2 linked regions of the Drosophila melanogaster genome follow. The gene in region 1 interacts genetically with each later gene. Each region holds a gene or a part of one and is shown on either strand. Other genes may lie near its edges.

Region 1 (8,884 bases):
GGCGGATTGGACCCGACCTGGATGGCCTCAGCGAGGCGGAGCGGGCGGAAAAGTACCGAGGAACTGCCTCCTACGTCAGGGAGTTCGGCAAGAAGGCATTTGGTCCGTCTAGTGGAAATCACAAGTACAATCTTCGAGATCTGGAGTCCACGCCAAGATCTCTGAAGCGCCTTATGGATCAAAATGAAAGGACGCCAGGTTCCGTGGAAAAGACGACGACCAAGCGTTCGTTCCTGGAAATGCTGGGCGTAGCTGGCCAGGAGACGGAAGCCACAGAACAGCCCCAGAAACGGGCGAAGCCACTGGAGTCACGTGGAAGGCGGCTCTTTGGACCTTCTAGCCAGGAAACTGCTTGCAGGCACATACAACTTCAGTCCATAAACGAGGAAGATGCCTCGCCGAGCAAGAGACAAAAGGAGAACTCTGCCGCGGAGGATGTCTCACCACTGCACAAGCTTCTCAGCACACCAAGTCATTCCCCTTTGAGTGAGAATGTCAACCATGTGTACACCTCCCCGCCAACCACGTCAGCGGCAGCAGCAGCGGTGGCTGCAGACGCGCTTAATCCGCCGCCGATCTCCGCTGCCATCTACTCGCCCACCTCCAACCTGCCCAATTACGTGCTGGATGGCGAGGCACCGCACCTGGGCATCATGTCGCCCAAGCGGAAGGCGAAGGAGAAGGTGGACTGGCTGACGAATATCCGCAAACAGAAGCTGATGAGTGGCAGGGCCCATGTGACGCTCAGCGAAAAGATCAGCGAGGAGCAGCAGGCCGATGTGCTGGCATCCCCGCGCCTCCAGAGTCTGCGGCAGTCAGAGTGCAGTCCCAGGATACACGCCTCGCCCCGCAGACGCATCTCCCATACGGACGGAGGCGGTGGCACGCCGGCTGGCAGCTCCTCGCACTCCCATTCCCAATCCCAGCCAAAAACGCCCACTTCCAGTAGGCGAAACAGCGAGACGACGCTCCTGCGATTCTTTAGCATTCAGAGAAGTAGCAGTGTGCCGGCGGAGGAAACAACGACAACGAATGCGGCTCCCTCCTCTTCTGATCCCCATCCCCCGGCAGTGACTGCGCCCGCAGCCACGCCCCTCAGCATGCGCACGCCCACGACGGCGGTGGGCAGCGATTGACGCGGAGCCTCGAGCCACAGCACCATTATTGCACTTGTAGTTTTAAGCGGACATTGTTTAAGTTATTTTATGTAGATAGTAGGTTGCATCTATCGCGGGACGAGTTGGTAACCAACTCCCCGCCCTCTGTACAGAGCCAAAAGATACGAAAGACTAACGTACCCGAATAAAAGTAACTCCATTTTAAAGCTGCCTTGATTGATTCTCTAAAAACTAACTCGTTTAATGTACTGTTTATTCAATTTTTTTTTTGGCATAATCAAAACGGTTTATATGTGGCACTCATGGCTAACAAGTGGCACTCAGACCATTTTACTGCAGCTTTTTCTGTTGCTCCTGCTGCTCCCTCTTGGCCGCATTATTAATCCGCATGGTCTGGACAAGCTGCTTGGCCACCCCAGCGAGCAGTATGATGTGGGTGAAGTGAAGGGCAGCGCTGGAGAAGTTCGTACTGGGATAGGTGTTCCAGCAGTACTCAATCAGTCCGAGGATCAGGCAGCGCACGCCCAGCGAGTACGGCGTCGACCAGGCCAAATAGGGTAGCGAGTGGAAGTACCAGACGTAGAACTGATAGTGCAAGGATCGGGAGCAGGCCACGCCCACCAGGTTGCACAGGAAGAACGGCAGCAGGGCCAGCTGGGTGCAGCGATCGAAGTGGATGCCATAGCGTTCCGGTTCCGCCTGTGCGGGTGCCGGAGTGGCCTTTCCTCCAGACGCCTTCTGCAGGCTCTTCTCGAAGGCCTTCAGGAAGGATTGCTGCTCGGTTGTAAACTTCTTCTGGTCCTTGTCCTTGTCCTTTTCCACTTTCTTTGGTCTTTTCTGCGCGTTCAGCTCGAGGTTCTGCTGGGCTATTTGCGGCTGCAGCTGATCCTCAATACGGCGCAGGCGCACGTAGCTCTGGAAAAAGGTCCAAGTGGGCTTGGCGAAGGCCAGCAGGAGCAGCAGATGCAGGCCCAAAAGCGAAACGTGGAAGGTGCGGTTCTCGAACAGATCTCTGCTCAGGAAGCGATAGTTGACCGTCCACTTGTGCTCGAAGATGCGTCCCAAATCAAAGCTGCCCCGCAGATACTCCACAGGATGGGTGAGCAGGAAAGGAGCGCCCAGCAGCAGTTGTATCACTCCGCAGACAGCCAGCTGCAGGATCGTCCGCAGAAGTCCCAGGTTGGCCAAGTAGAACAGCAAGAGCGCAGGCGCAAACAGCAGGATGTTCATCTTAACGCCCACCGCCAAGCTGAAGAAGGTGCTACCCAGGGTCCACCTTCTGTCCAGGAACAAATTGAGTGCGGCATAGAGGAGCAGCACTGCCACCGGATCGTTGAACAGTCGCAGCACGTATATCGAGTGGATCCGATACGACGTGAAGGCACTGAGCACTAGCACATACGGCGGCACCTTTCTGCTCTTCGAGTACAGCCTCAGCACCAGGGCCAGCTGGAGCAGGTAGATCCCGGCGAAGATGTACTGCGCCAGGCGAACGTTCGTTCCGTGGGACGTGACGTAGTAGAGAGCCGAGTAGATGTACACGAAGGCGGCTGGATACACAAGAGGTCCTGTGTCGCCTAGGAAATCGAAAATCGAAGAATTTCAATTATCATAAATTAGATAGAAGGAATGCAATTAGTCATTGTTTTCATTCACTAAGCAGTTATTTCAGTCTGTTTGGGCCTGGGAAAACTATTATATCCATTGAGTTACACTTCATATTTATTTTAAAGGCAAAACTTTAGTTAACTTATTTAATATACGGCTTTTTTAACTTTAACGGTATATAACGATATTTCATTCGCTTTCACGCCGGTTGGTATTTTCGCTCGCTACGCACGCGGTCACATTGAGCAAGTGCGAGTGAGAGAGAGAGAGACAGACATTCGTAGGACAGCATGGATGTTACGGCATGTTGTTGAAAAGCTGAAAATCTGATACTTTTATGGAAAAATGATGATTTCGTGTAAAAAATTATTCGTGTTCCGGCAGCTGCCGGCGGTGCGCCGTTGCCTAGCGGCAGCCGCGTTCTCCACGCCACGCGCGACCTCCTACCGAATCCTCTCCAGCGCCGGGAGCGGAAGTACCCGGGCAGACGCACCCCAAGTGCGCCGCCTGCACACCACGCGCGACCTCCTGGCCAAGGACTACTACGCCACGCTGGGCGTTGCCAAGAACGCCAACGGCAAGGACATCAAGAAAGCCTACTACCAGCTGGCCAAGAAGTACCATCCGGACACGAACAAGGAGGATCCGGATGCGGGCCGCAAGTTCCAGGAGGTCTCCGAGGCCTACGAAGTGCTCAGCGACGAGCAGAAGCGCCGTGAGTACGACACCTATGGCCAGACGGCGGAAAACATTGGTCGCCAGGGCGGCGGATTCCCTGGCGGAGGAGCCGGTGGCTTTGGCCCCGAGGGTTTCTCGCAGAGCTGGCAGTTCCGCTCGAGCATCGACCCCGAGGAGCTCTTCCGCAAGATCTTCGGCGAGGGCAACTTTCGAACGAACTCGTTCGACGACTTCGCCGACTCCAAGTTCGGATTCGGCCAGGCCCAGGAGATGGTCATGGACCTGACCTTTGCCCAGGCGGCGCGCGGCGTTAACAAGGATGTCAACGTCAACGTGGTGGACCAGTGCCCCAAGTGCGCCGGCACCAAGTGCGAGCCGGGCACCAAGCCAGGTCGCTGTCAGTACTGCAACGGCACCGGCTTCGAAACGGTGTCCACTGGGCCCTTCGTAATGCGCTCCACTTGCCGCTACTGCCAGGGCACGCGGCAGCACATTAAGTATCCGTGCAGCGAGTGCGAGGGCAAGGGCCGCACGGTCCAGCGCCGCAAGGTCACCGTGCCGGTGCCGGCTGGCATTGAGAACGGGCAAACGGTGCGAATGCAGGTGGGCAGCAAGGAGCTGTTCGTCACGTTCCGCGTGGAGCGGAGCGACTACTTCCGGCGCGAGGGCGCCGATGTGCACACGGACGCGGCCATATCCCTGGCCCAGGCGGTGCTGGGCGGCACTGTGCGTGTCCAGGGCGTATACGAGGATCAGTGGATCAACGTGGAGCCGGGCACCTCGTCGCACCACAAGATCATGCTGCGCGGCAAGGGTCTGAAACGCGTGAATGCCCACGGACACGGCGATCATTACGTGCACGTCAAGATCACGGTGCCATCGGCAAAGAAGCTGGACAAGAAGCGACTGGCTCTGATCGAGGCGTACGCCGAGCTGGAGGAGGACACCCCCGGGCAGATCCACGGAATCGCGAATCGCAAAGACGGCAGTAAGCAAGCAACGTAAATAATCTCCCGATCTACCAATGCAATCTCTAAATGTAACTTGGAGCTTGAATTCGTAGTTGAAATATACGTGCGTTCTATGTGCGAGCTTTATTAAATGATGGCGTCTTTCTCTCCCCTTCCCCATCTCTCGTTGCAGCGCAGGAGCGAGTGAGGAGCCAGGAGCGGGAGCAGCTGCTAAAGCCAGTGCAGCAGCCGCCGGATCAGGAGCCTCCAAGCCAGGACCAGGAGCAGAAAAAAGCGAAGGCAAAGACCAGTGGACGGACAACGAGAAAACCAAAGCGAAAGAAGGCGGCGGATCCGGATCCGGACAAGGCGACGGCGGAGGCGGAGGCTTCATAAGCAAGATCAAGTCCATGTTCAACTGACAGGCGTTGGCAACCCGATGGCCGATTCTGTTTTTTTAGTGTCTAAGTTAACGCACGTTATTGTTGCTAATCTAAGTTCGGGCGGGAACCGGGGGAGTGTATTCCAAATACGACTCGGTTCGAGATGAATAAACCAAATTGACCGTCAGTCGGGCAAGTTCTGCGTTTAAGCGAGGCTAACTTCACTTGTCTTAATCTCACGCTGCTCCGATTTTCAGTTGCCTAAAGTTCGTGCCGCATTTGATGTCGTCCAACTCCCCAAATCTCTGTGTTTAACCTTTGATGGTAACTGTGTTCAAACATTTGAACCATATGTCAAACTACTCTCCTCGATTTTGAAAATACTTCAAACTTTAAAGTAACTGAAATATCAATTTTATAAGAATTCCAACTAAAAAAGAGCATAAACTATATAGCTAGTTGGAAATAGGCTATCCCCTTAGTAAGGTAACCTAAAATATCGTTATAACCACATCATGCGAAGAACAACAGGTGCACGCATATGTTTCCGCAACCGGAATGGGGTCACCTGTGGCCAAAAATAAACCAGGAGCGGCGCAGAAACTCACCGCGCAACAGACTGTAGTTGGTGGTGCCGTTCAGGAAGCCCTCGCACTCCTGCATGTAAGCCACCCAGTCGATCTCTGTGTAGGGCACCCGCTGGATGACCACCACGTTGATGACCAGCTCCGCCAGGAGCACGAAGAGGCCAACTATGGGCAGAGCGGCCGGCTCCAGGAGCAGATACTTGAAGAAGCGCACGTTGAGGTACTTGTCCAGGATGGAGTCCACCAGGGTGCCCGACTTCTTGCGCCGCACCGCCGGACGGTGGCTGGCGGCCTTTGGCGGGGCCATTTCTGTGATAACCGGCGAAAATTAATTAAAATTCAACTTGAACCGAAAAACAACCAGGGCGGCACTATCAAAATCAGCTGTTGCGCCTCCCATCGATAGCAGTCCAACTGGATTTTGCATGCTATCGATATTTTCCCAATTTAAATTTGTAGTTCTAACAGCGAGCACCAGTGGCGTCTTCCGCTTCCGGTTGTTGCTTGGTTTTCAAGAAAAGAAAATTTAATTTTATCACGCTGAAAATGCTTTTAAATATTTGTAATTTAATTTTTAAAGTATATTTGGGTTGCTACCTAAATTATTGTGGCCAAAACACGAGTTTTCCAAGGAGGGCTACCTTCATAACTTGGCCAAAAAAAGTCGCACATTCAAAAAAATTACTGTTTTAGACTCCTAATGATCCAAACTAACTATCCCAATCACAATCTTGACGATTTTCAATAATTAAATTTTTGGCCATTTTTTGCATTTTTTGTAAGGGGTTACATCGTTAAAATTTGCAAAAAATTGACAAAAATTAAAATTTTCAAATTTGAATGGGAATCGATTAGGAATGTGAATACAAGTTCAACAAGCTATGACACTCAATATTTGGGCCATAAAATCGATTGTTTTGGCCAAAATACGTATTTTTTGGTTGATTTAAGGGTTCACCTTCATAATTTGGCCAAAAAGAGTTAATGATTCAATACAGTACAATAGAAATATCATTATTTGAGGATTTGCTTGAATTTTATTGAATAGCAATGAGTTTGACAATTGCATTTTGAAACACATCCACTGCTTTTAGTTCCTGCTGAGTATTTACAATTTGAATGGCTGCATTTTTCCTAGCCAGCTGGATGTTGTAAGGCCTGCGGGTGGATTAAACCATAACATATATGTAGTAATTAGCAGAATTCCTACACGGCGAACGCTTCTATTCGGTCAAAATGGGTGGGCCCCATTTGGGGCGGGGGACCGGAACTGCAGGTGGGAATACGCAACAGGTACAAAACCAATCAGCTCATGGCCAATTTGCTGGCCAGATTAACGTCCATCGCTGGCGTCATCCCAATAGCAAACAGTCGGTCGTGGTCCGTGTGCTTTGGCTGGTTTTGCTGGCTTTGGGTGGTTTTTGGGGTGGCTCTGGCGGTTTAACGCATCGCTGAGATGCATTTGCCAGAGGCAAACGGGGTAACATAAGCCGGGCGAGGGTGTGCTCATGCAAACGCAGCTCGTTTATCGGGTTACAACTGATATGGTGGCCATGCCGCAACCACACTTAACCCACCATCGAGCCCACATCCTTTTCAGGACGCAGAACGCAGAACGCAGGACACAGGACCCAGGGCTCGGGACTCTGGACGGGGGAATGGCCCGCACCCAGACCCACCGGGCAATTAAATGTCAACCCACGGATGCGAATGGCTGCCCGATTTTCCGGCGCTGCCCCGCTCTTGTGTGTTTTTTCCGCATTTCGTGATTCATTTATTGTGTCCACTGCAGCGTGTTTGCTCGGAAAAAGAAAAACACGAAATAGTTGGCCCTGTTGTCGCTTTTTCCCGACATTTACCTGTTCAGTCAGCCAGCTGAAACACTGATATGCCACCAATTATCCAAAAAGCGAAAAACTGTAGCGAAAAAAGGTGCACGGCGATTTACAGGAATTTAGCCGGAGGATCCGTGCGAACTGGAATTCAATAACCCATTTTTGTCAGCTACATTTTTTCCAAAAAAAATCTGTTTAAAAACATTTTTGCTACAGATGAGTGGAGTTTTACCGTAAAATTTTTCTGTACTCTGATAATCCTTTGTTTCCCCTTTTTTTTAGCAAAAATGTTGAAGTGTGTCCCTTGATAGCAAAACTAATTATGTATGCCAGCATTAATTAAGCTTATATGCTTGAATACATCATTTCGCTGGAGAAAGAACATGCTCGAGAGAGTAATTCAAATTAAATATAAAATAATTTAAAAGGTTTATACAATTGTAAATAATAAAACATACTGATAGTCGTGCGTAATGTGGCAAGTCATGCATATTGACTAATTTAAGTGATCTGTGCTTTTTTCTTGGGGCCCGTACCAAAATAAGTTTAAGCATATGTTTTCATGTTTGTCGCCCCATATTTGTGGGTCAATCGCGTCCGAAGAGTTGGCTATCTCCGCATGAACTATAGAACTAAATCGGTCACTCCTTATCGGTCGCGTCGCCTTAGTCGACAGATGTACCCATGTGTGTAGACAAACCAACATACGTACAGCCTCAGCTACTTTCTGTGCGAGTGAGACAATTGTTTATTAATCAATAATAACAATAATCTACGCCACGCACACCGACACAACGTGTGTATTTCGGTATCGGCGCTGTTATCACTATCAGCCCGCTGCTGCTGTGGCTCCCATTGCTGATAAGCGACTTCCCCCACTCCGCCGCTGTAATGCAAATCAACAGCATTCGGCCTATGATAGTGATAGTGGCGAGCGGCGAGCAGTACTTTGCACTCGAGTGCTTATTAATTTCTCTTGCCAGCAGCGCACTCATTGCCTTTGCATTTTATTGTCTCACGATCTGGCTATAAAATGAAAATGGGGACGGGTACTTTATTTATCGCCGCCACTTATTGCAGTTCGTATGATACTCGCTCTATGGGCGGAAGAAACGGAGGCGGGGCAGTTCAGAGGCTCTCGAGCCGGAAAAAGTCTCTGTAGGGTAAACAAGGCGGGTTCCATGGCTCTGCGAAGTCTTTCTGCCGAGCTTCAGGTACAGTGGAGGTTCTACTGTGTGAAAGTGTAGTTAATACCTAAGTTCGTAAAGTTGCTAGTGCCATTTTTGCTTGCAAAGCATGCTTTGTTGAAAACCATTTGATATCTTGCTAGAAGCTTTCAGTTTAGTGACTCTACATCCCTACATGCTGGCAGTTTCGAACAGTTTTGAGCTGTATTCCAGTGAGGATTAATCCCATTTGAGTTCGAAACTATCGCCTCTTGTGCTGATTATTGTGGACAGAGATATTGGATCACGACACAGAGGGCTGACTGTGGCCTCTTTGCTTTTGCTTTGAGCTTTGAACGCCCGCAAATGCTGACTATTTTGTTGGGCCCTAGCATGGTGATAGAATGTGGGAGGGGGAAAGGGGCGTGGCAAAGGGGGAGTAGGTTGGAGATAGGAGGGCTAGCGACTAAAAAGTGTTGATAACCGGGCACACATTTGCATCCACAAACACTGCGACGCACACACGCACACCCTGCTTTCTAGGCCTCTGCCATTTAAG
Region 2 (7,081 bases), on another chromosome or scaffold:
AACCCCCCAAAAAATGAGGAAACTCGCCAACTTCTTGTGATTGTTACTGGGAGTGGAGAAAGTTTTATTCGGCTCGCGTTTTCTGTGTATTATTTTTTCTTCTTTGGGCAATCTGTTTCATTAGCATAACAACAAATATTGTTCACATAGTAGCCAAAAAAGAGATTTGCACAACAGCCAAATCTTTGTCATCGAGCATTTCGTATTCGCTTTCAATTAATTGAGCTTATTCAAAGAGGTGAATAAGCTAGCTTTTCATGTTGTAACATTTTTTCTATGCAAATGTTTTGATTATTACATAAGGTCAAGTAGAATGCGATAAGGGAAAACGTGCTCGATATGGCTTGTTTACATCTGAATCAACAGAAAAAAACTTATATTTAAGCCCCAAGGCGCAAACGACAGTGGAGAAGTTCTGAGAACTTGAGTGTTTGTTTTTTTTTTTTGGCTGATGTCGGCATTCAAAGATATCGGATCGGTGGAATTAATGGGATATGTATATTGGAATGGGGTATGAAAAGCGTTAGAACATTTATAATTCGTGATGTCTTGAAAGAAATGCCAAATTGAATAAAATGTGTGGACTAAAACCTTTTATATTTGCATATATTAGACAAAAATATTTGTTTAATTTCCAAATTTGATTTATATTCAATTTTGCAAGAAGGGTAAAGACAATATATATTTAATGAACTTTTTGTGAAGAATTCTCAACGAAACAATGGGCCTGACTTTCTTTATGAATAAATGGAAACAATAAATGACAACAAATACAACAAATTTGTTAAAAATTAATTTGATCGCTAGAGAGGTCATATCGTTAAAGAAATACCAAGTCAGGGGAAGAAAACGTTGAAGAGGAATTTTAAAAGACCTCAAATTAATCACTTCTATGTGGTGCTCATGCCCCCCCCGCCCCAATTCCAAAGCCCCTTCATCTCAATAGCTACACTCAAACCCAATCAATTTCCAATTATCCAAGGCCCCGTACGAAATTGTTCATGTTCAACCAATTTCGAAATGGTTTGCTTCGGTTCGGTTCTTAACCCATGCTTACCCTCATTAACATGTCCTGATCGGGGCAGCGCTTCCTTTGGTGGTGCGGCTGCTGTTGTGGTTGTGAAATTATTCATCTCTCTCCTCCTCTCGCCACCCTTCTCTTTCTAACAGGCTCTGGCTGTCTCTTTCGGTGGCTCAAATCTCTATAGAATATCTGTATCTCGTTCTAAAACAGGTGTTTAAATTGGGTAGCTCAAGGACGCGCCTTCCACTCCACTGATTTTTAATTTATGTTGGTTTACTTGTTGAAGCGGGCTGGCAAAATAGATACATAGATGCGGCGATACAGAGCGTGAGTAAACTATATTTTCATCTAATTGCGTCGCTCTCGGTGCAACTATTTCACTTTCACACTTCCACACGAGATATAATGCTTATAATTCCACAATTTCCACCATCAACACGCGCGCAACAACGACAGCTGCAATTCAAAATTCGATTTGATTTAGGTATTGTATCCCAAAGATACGCAACGAACCGGCGGCCGTCGTTCCACGAAAGCAGCAAAACAGCTCATTCAACAGCGAAAGCCGCTCAGCGAATGGATGTTGTTTGACTTGGCCATACAGTCCAGCTAACTGGAAGACACAATAATACTGCAAGCGGCGCTGGAACTGGAAGCCGATACAAATGTATCTCGAAAGCGGCACTGCAATGGAAGAGAGAATAAGAGAGAGGAGAGAGAATAACTCAAAACAGTGCTGCCAAGTTTCAAAAAGATTTCAAATCTAAATACAAAAAGTTATAATTTTACTATTGATTTATAAATTCATTAAACGGTATATATGTACATATGGTTTTTTATTATTATTTAATTTTCCAAAATGAGTTGGGAGCAACGAATTTCAGTATTTCTTTTATTTATGTATATGGCATTTGCTGTTTAGTAAAGACATACACCATTGCGTTAGCTAAGCGAGGTTTCAATCCTCAACAAATGCTACACTTAAAAAATTCCAAAATCATATTTAATTAGATAAAAATTGTGTAGCTAGAAACTTGTTTATAAATATCACGACTGCTAGTTAGTTGTGAAAGTAAGGTATTATAATTAAAATTTAAATAATAGGTAATGTTGTAAAAAAAACTTTAAACGTATAGTTCATATTGGGATACTGGGAATTTCAATAAAAGTTATCTTAAACATATTGTCGTTTATTCATATAAAACTTTATTATTATTTTAATTGATAACTTGGGTAATAAAGTGAGTGAGCAAGTAGTCTCTATAAAATACTTCTTGAGGCACTACCTTCTCGTTGTTATTTATTTTTATAAGTCAAATCGCAGCCGAAATTTAAGAAACTGAAGCCGGGTTCAAAGTATGCCGAAGTCGGGAGTATTTCACTCATAGCGCAAAATAAACAGTCGATCGCAGACACACAAATACTTGTATTACTTGCCACAGCATAGATATACAGATACTTTTGCATCTACAATCGACGTGAAAAAGGTAAACAAAAGTCAAGTCACGGTGCGAATGAGTGTGTATTTGAGATAGATGCCTCGGTGCGAGTGCTGAGTTGTTGGTAACAGCGAGCGATCGCGGCATTCCAGTCAGTAACGAGTTGAATGTGGCTCAAAACGCGTCGCTGAACGATGGCTAAAAACGTTTAAAGTTAAAAAGCGTATTAAATCATATAATATATAATATATTGGTGTAAAAAATACAGAATTAAACCTAATAATTAAGTGTCCGGACATCCCCTAGAAAAATGTGTGAAAATGTTGAGAAACTAACCGGAATACTATGAAAACTGCTGTAAAACTTGGCTAAGATAAACTCGTTTGCACCAATACACATGTGATTATACGTATAAGGGCAACGCAAAATACTCAGACTCCAGAAGCCAGCAATTAAAAAAGAAGTTAGTCAGTTAGCGTCTGGGCCGCGTTACTGGTGTATGAATCATACTTTGGATACGTTTAAAAATAACAAAACAAAAACCTTAAAACGAGGAAAAAGTTGTAACAGTGCTAATGTAAACTTCGATCAAACTTAGCGGAACGAGCTCGCTACAAAACCAAATACCCATAACAAGTAAATTAAGCACACATTATAAAATACCTCAAATGTCGGTCAGGAAGTTGAGTGCCCTATCGCTCTCCATTGGTGGAGTTCCGTTGATTCCAAGTGTTTCCTTGGTAGCTGCGGCCAATGGAGAGAGTAGGGATTGCCATGGCACGATCTGTCATCCGGTCAATGAATTTTGCTATGTTGCAACGGAGAGATGTCATCCGTGCATCGAGGTCTGCAATAATCAAACCCACAACTACGATGCGTTTCTGTGCGCCAAGGAATGTTCAGGCAAGTAGAATTCAAAGATTTCCAAAAGATTACCTCAGATTAACTCACGATCCATAGGGTAATTTGGCGGGTTCTATGCAAGTTCAGGTTTTTCCAGCTGGACTTAATTGTATTTCAATTACAGTTGCTTCAGCGGGTGATTAACTCATCACCCATGAGTTGACTAAAATAGGGGGTATTTTAAAGATTTAAAGAATGTACATTTTTATAATAAAAATGATTTGTTGAAACTAGCTTTATAATAATTTTTTTAGTGTAAAAGATTTGTAAAAGTTGTAATGGCAAGATAAGGCCAGTTGCATTTGCAATTTTTATCTGACTATGTACAACGAGTTATCAAAAACGTTCCCGTGTTTTATCAATTATTATTTACTTAAAACGATAATAGTAGCGATATTATTTAATTTCTTTATCAACCCACAGCTTACAAGACATTTGAGCCGTTAAAAGCCGAGATGCTGGACATCCAGAATACCCAGCAGCTGATCCTCTTGCTGCTGACTATCCTTCTCGTCCTGATTGCGCTTCGTTGCGCGTTTCAGTTCCTTCGATGGCTGATAGGCAATCGGTGCTTCCAGAAGCTGATGCGCCGTCTCCAATCGAAGGCCTACCCTCATCCGGCAACTGCAAATGGAAAGGATCTTAATGCTACCACCATACAGAATCTGAATGCCATTAACCATCCCGGCAGCGACCTTGAGCGGGCACAATCACAGATCTACAGTGTGGCAGGTAAGTGTAAGGATCTACCTGTCCGGGTTTTTCCAATAACACTTCCCAATGTACACATTATACCTGCAATGATTTATTACAGGTGCTGCCGAGGGTTCCGTTGTGACTATGACAACGCCGGTGAGCACTCGCTATCCGGCGGAAAACAGTACCACGCCCACAACGGTTATGACGGAGATCGGATACGGATACGATAATCAGGCCATGGTCGTAACGCCGGTTTCCGAGAAACCCTCAGCAGCGACGATTCCCGTCGCTTTCTAAGGCCATACAAGTACTTGAAAACTCTTACTTCTAAATCAGTCCAGCGAAAGCAAAATGTGCACCACATTAAAACTAGTGATATTTTTCATAGTTATTAAGCAAGAAGTCTTCTATCAATATGGAATATATACGCATATCTGTAGAATATAAACCTTAATTAATAGGTTTATATATGTTGGGACATATTTTTGATAACCCAATGTGGCCCTGAAAACTTATATTCGATCTGTATGAAATTATATGTAAAGGAACTTTTTTCTCTTTACTTTAATATTTTCCTTAAAGCAACGAAAATACTTACAACATCACAACTATGAACGAAGAGACATATTTATAACTGTTAAGAAATATATTTATAATGTTCAATTTATTATCATGTTAAGTTTTTTATGTGGAAAAGTTTTGTAAATGGTAATATGGGGGAAAACCAATTCATTCGCAATCACCACAAACGTTTCTCAACACACTTCCATCCGGTTAAAATAATTACGAATGCGAAATAAATCTTCCTGAAAATTTTTTGAGTTTTGAAATAAGACACGGGAACTACGCTTAAAAGTATTGTCATTTATTGTAAAAAGTATTCCACGTTGGCAAACACAATTCTAAGGCTAAGTTAAGTTGGCTTTTTGAGTATAACTCTTGTTCTCGTCCTTAATGCTAATCGTTTGTATATGACACGCCAGATATGTATGTGTGCTTGTTTCCAAACTATAATTAATGTTTTCGTATATAAAATGCTTCACTTTTCCTAACGAATCTCATAAATCAGCCTTAAACGTAAGCTTATATTTAAATAAATAACCTAGGACTAATTCCGATCGAATTGGAAACGCTTGTATTGATCCCTTTATTGCAGAACATCCTTCTAAACCTTACACCCAATACTGATTCCGCCTAAGTAGTGGATTTGTTGGCGGGGCCGAGGGCGGTGAGCTGACCGATCCGGAAATACTTTGTGGCACAGAGGCATAGCCAGCAAAATCATTCGCCATATCGCAGGACGAACTCCAGGCGTCGTGCTCCATGTGATAAGGATTATATCTCTGCGGCAGCATCATTTGCTGCGGATCGCACTGATCGTCCGTCTCCTCCTCATCGGGATCGTAGTCGGGATACTCATGTTTGTACGACTCCACGGGTATTATCTTGCAATGGGGAATATTGCTGAAACCCGGTAACGGTGTTGAATTTCCTGTGGCCGGCACGGAATCCGCCTCGGAACTTGCGTAATGGTGGCCATGATGATGGTGCAGATGGTGTTGCGGACTCACAGAAGTCAAGTCTGGTGGACACGGTAGCGCCGGCGGCTGATCCTTGGATATATCTGCCTTGTGCTTTCTCAGTTTCCTGATCTTTAATATCAACAGCACGATAAGCAGGCATATCAACACGATAAAGATGGCACATCCTATGGCTAAATAGTTAATGGATAATCCTGCACTGCCCAAATGAACCGTCTCGGTTTCCTCAACACGACTTCTATACTCAATCGATACGGTGGCCTGTGCCGGCTGAACTGTTTTGATTAGCAATTGATAATCAAAACTGTCATGATCAGCTTCTGTTTCCTCGACCGATTCATGGGGCACAAAGTAGACGACGCCACTTCGAAGTTCTTTATAAGAGAATATATTCGTGGATCTATCACTCTGGCCATCGGTTGTCAGTCCCGTGCTTCGGATTATCTTTCTGATTTGCCCAGTTGATGGCATTCTAGTGATCACAAACTTGGGGTTGAATTTATTTAGTTTCAACGACAAAGGATTATCGTTGTCCAAAGAGGTAATAAGCTTTATTTTACCACCCGAGGATTCAGCTTCCTTCATTACTATATCATTGATTTGTATTACAGGTTCCACCTCCATTACCACATCGACCTGAGCAACATAATTGGTGCCCGGAACATAGGCACTCACCTGGAAGGAGTCATTCGATCGGTTCAGGTCTGTTTGCATATAGCTTATCTGTGATGTTTCCAACTGTTGTTGCGTGAACCTCAGAGTTGGTTGATGTTTGTACACTATAATGCCAAAAAGCGGCGAGTTTGTGACGTTGTAAGACAACCTTTCCATATGCACATTTGTGGACACTCCAATATGATCCAATCTCATTGGAGCAGTAGTAGCTCCTTGCTGAACCTTCACTGGTGCTTGCATTGCTGACGGTTGCAGATGAATAGAATCTATTTTAATGGTAAATATTTCGTATGCAGGATTTGATTGCCCGTCGGATACGGTGAAGCAAAACGTCGTGGACTGTGGCATTCCAAAGTGGACATATATAATGCGATCGTTGTTAATATCAGCTTGGGTAAACTGATTGGAGAAAGCTAATAGATCCTCAGGGCGTCCATCGTTTGTGATCTTTCTAAGTACCCCCAAAGTAGGACCACTCATCACATCGTATATAATTTCTTCAGGAGGTGTATCTGCATCTTCGGTTAGCAAATCATTTCTGGTGATAGTCCGATTCTCACCCTCAACGACTGTCATTTGGGGCAGGTGGGTGACCAAATGGAAGGGTTGATCGTTAATGGGGTTGATGGAAACGGGAATTGTCAAATTGCACAGAAAAATGTTCCTGAAATGAAAACGTATCTTATTACAATAACTGTTTACTTAAGTGAAATTTAAGGAAGACTCACCCTTGTGTCAGGTAAACCGACATCAGTATAGTATCCTCCAAAGTGTCCGAATGATCGTGTATGTAGTAGACT

Evidence for each region.
Region 2: of Alg3 (region 1) and grnd, changing one suppresses a phenotype caused by changing the other (phenotypic suppression), as found in Drosophila melanogaster (one study listed by BioGRID).

Annotation. Positions count from the first base shown.
Region 1 is NT_033778.4:23,704,083-23,712,966, forward strand, and holds Alg3 (ALG3, alpha-1,3- mannosyltransferase), read right to left. Parts: upstream 5,711-8,884; 5' UTR 5,632-5,710; coding exon 5,346-5,631; exon of another isoform or gene 5,095-5,345; intron 4,945-5,094; exon of another isoform or gene 4,777-4,944; coding exon of another isoform or gene 4,548-4,776; intron 4,504-4,547; exon of another isoform or gene 4,410-4,503; coding exon of another isoform or gene 3,072-4,409; exon of another isoform or gene 2,831-3,071; intron 2,696-2,830; coding exon 1,449-2,695; 3' UTR 1,357-1,448; downstream 1-1,356. Other genes in the region: l(2)dtl (lethal-(2)-denticleless), read left to right, coding at 1-1,136; CG5504 (uncharacterized protein), read left to right, coding at 3,072-4,405, 4,548-4,776. UniProt on the Drosophila melanogaster protein: Probable alpha-1,3-mannosyltransferase involved in the N-glycosylation pathway. Involved in glycosylation of the TNF receptor grnd, regulating its ligand affinity. Required for normal epithelial growth and architecture.
Region 2 is NT_033779.5:18,482,837-18,489,917, forward strand, and holds grnd (grindelwald), read left to right. Parts: upstream 1-2,580; 5' UTR 2,581-3,131; coding exon 3,132-3,366; intron 3,367-3,789; coding exon 3,790-4,098; intron 4,099-4,180; coding exon 4,181-4,362; 3' UTR 4,363-5,185; downstream 5,186-7,081. Other genes in the region: CG10283 (uncharacterized protein), read right to left, coding at 1,058-1,133; kon (kon-tiki), read right to left, coding at 5,238-6,945, 7,010-7,081. UniProt on the Drosophila melanogaster protein: Acts as a receptor for TNF-cytokine egr. Plays a role in activation of JNK signaling and is required for egr-induced apoptosis, including in wing imaginal discs during development. May also play an egr-independent role in cell proliferation.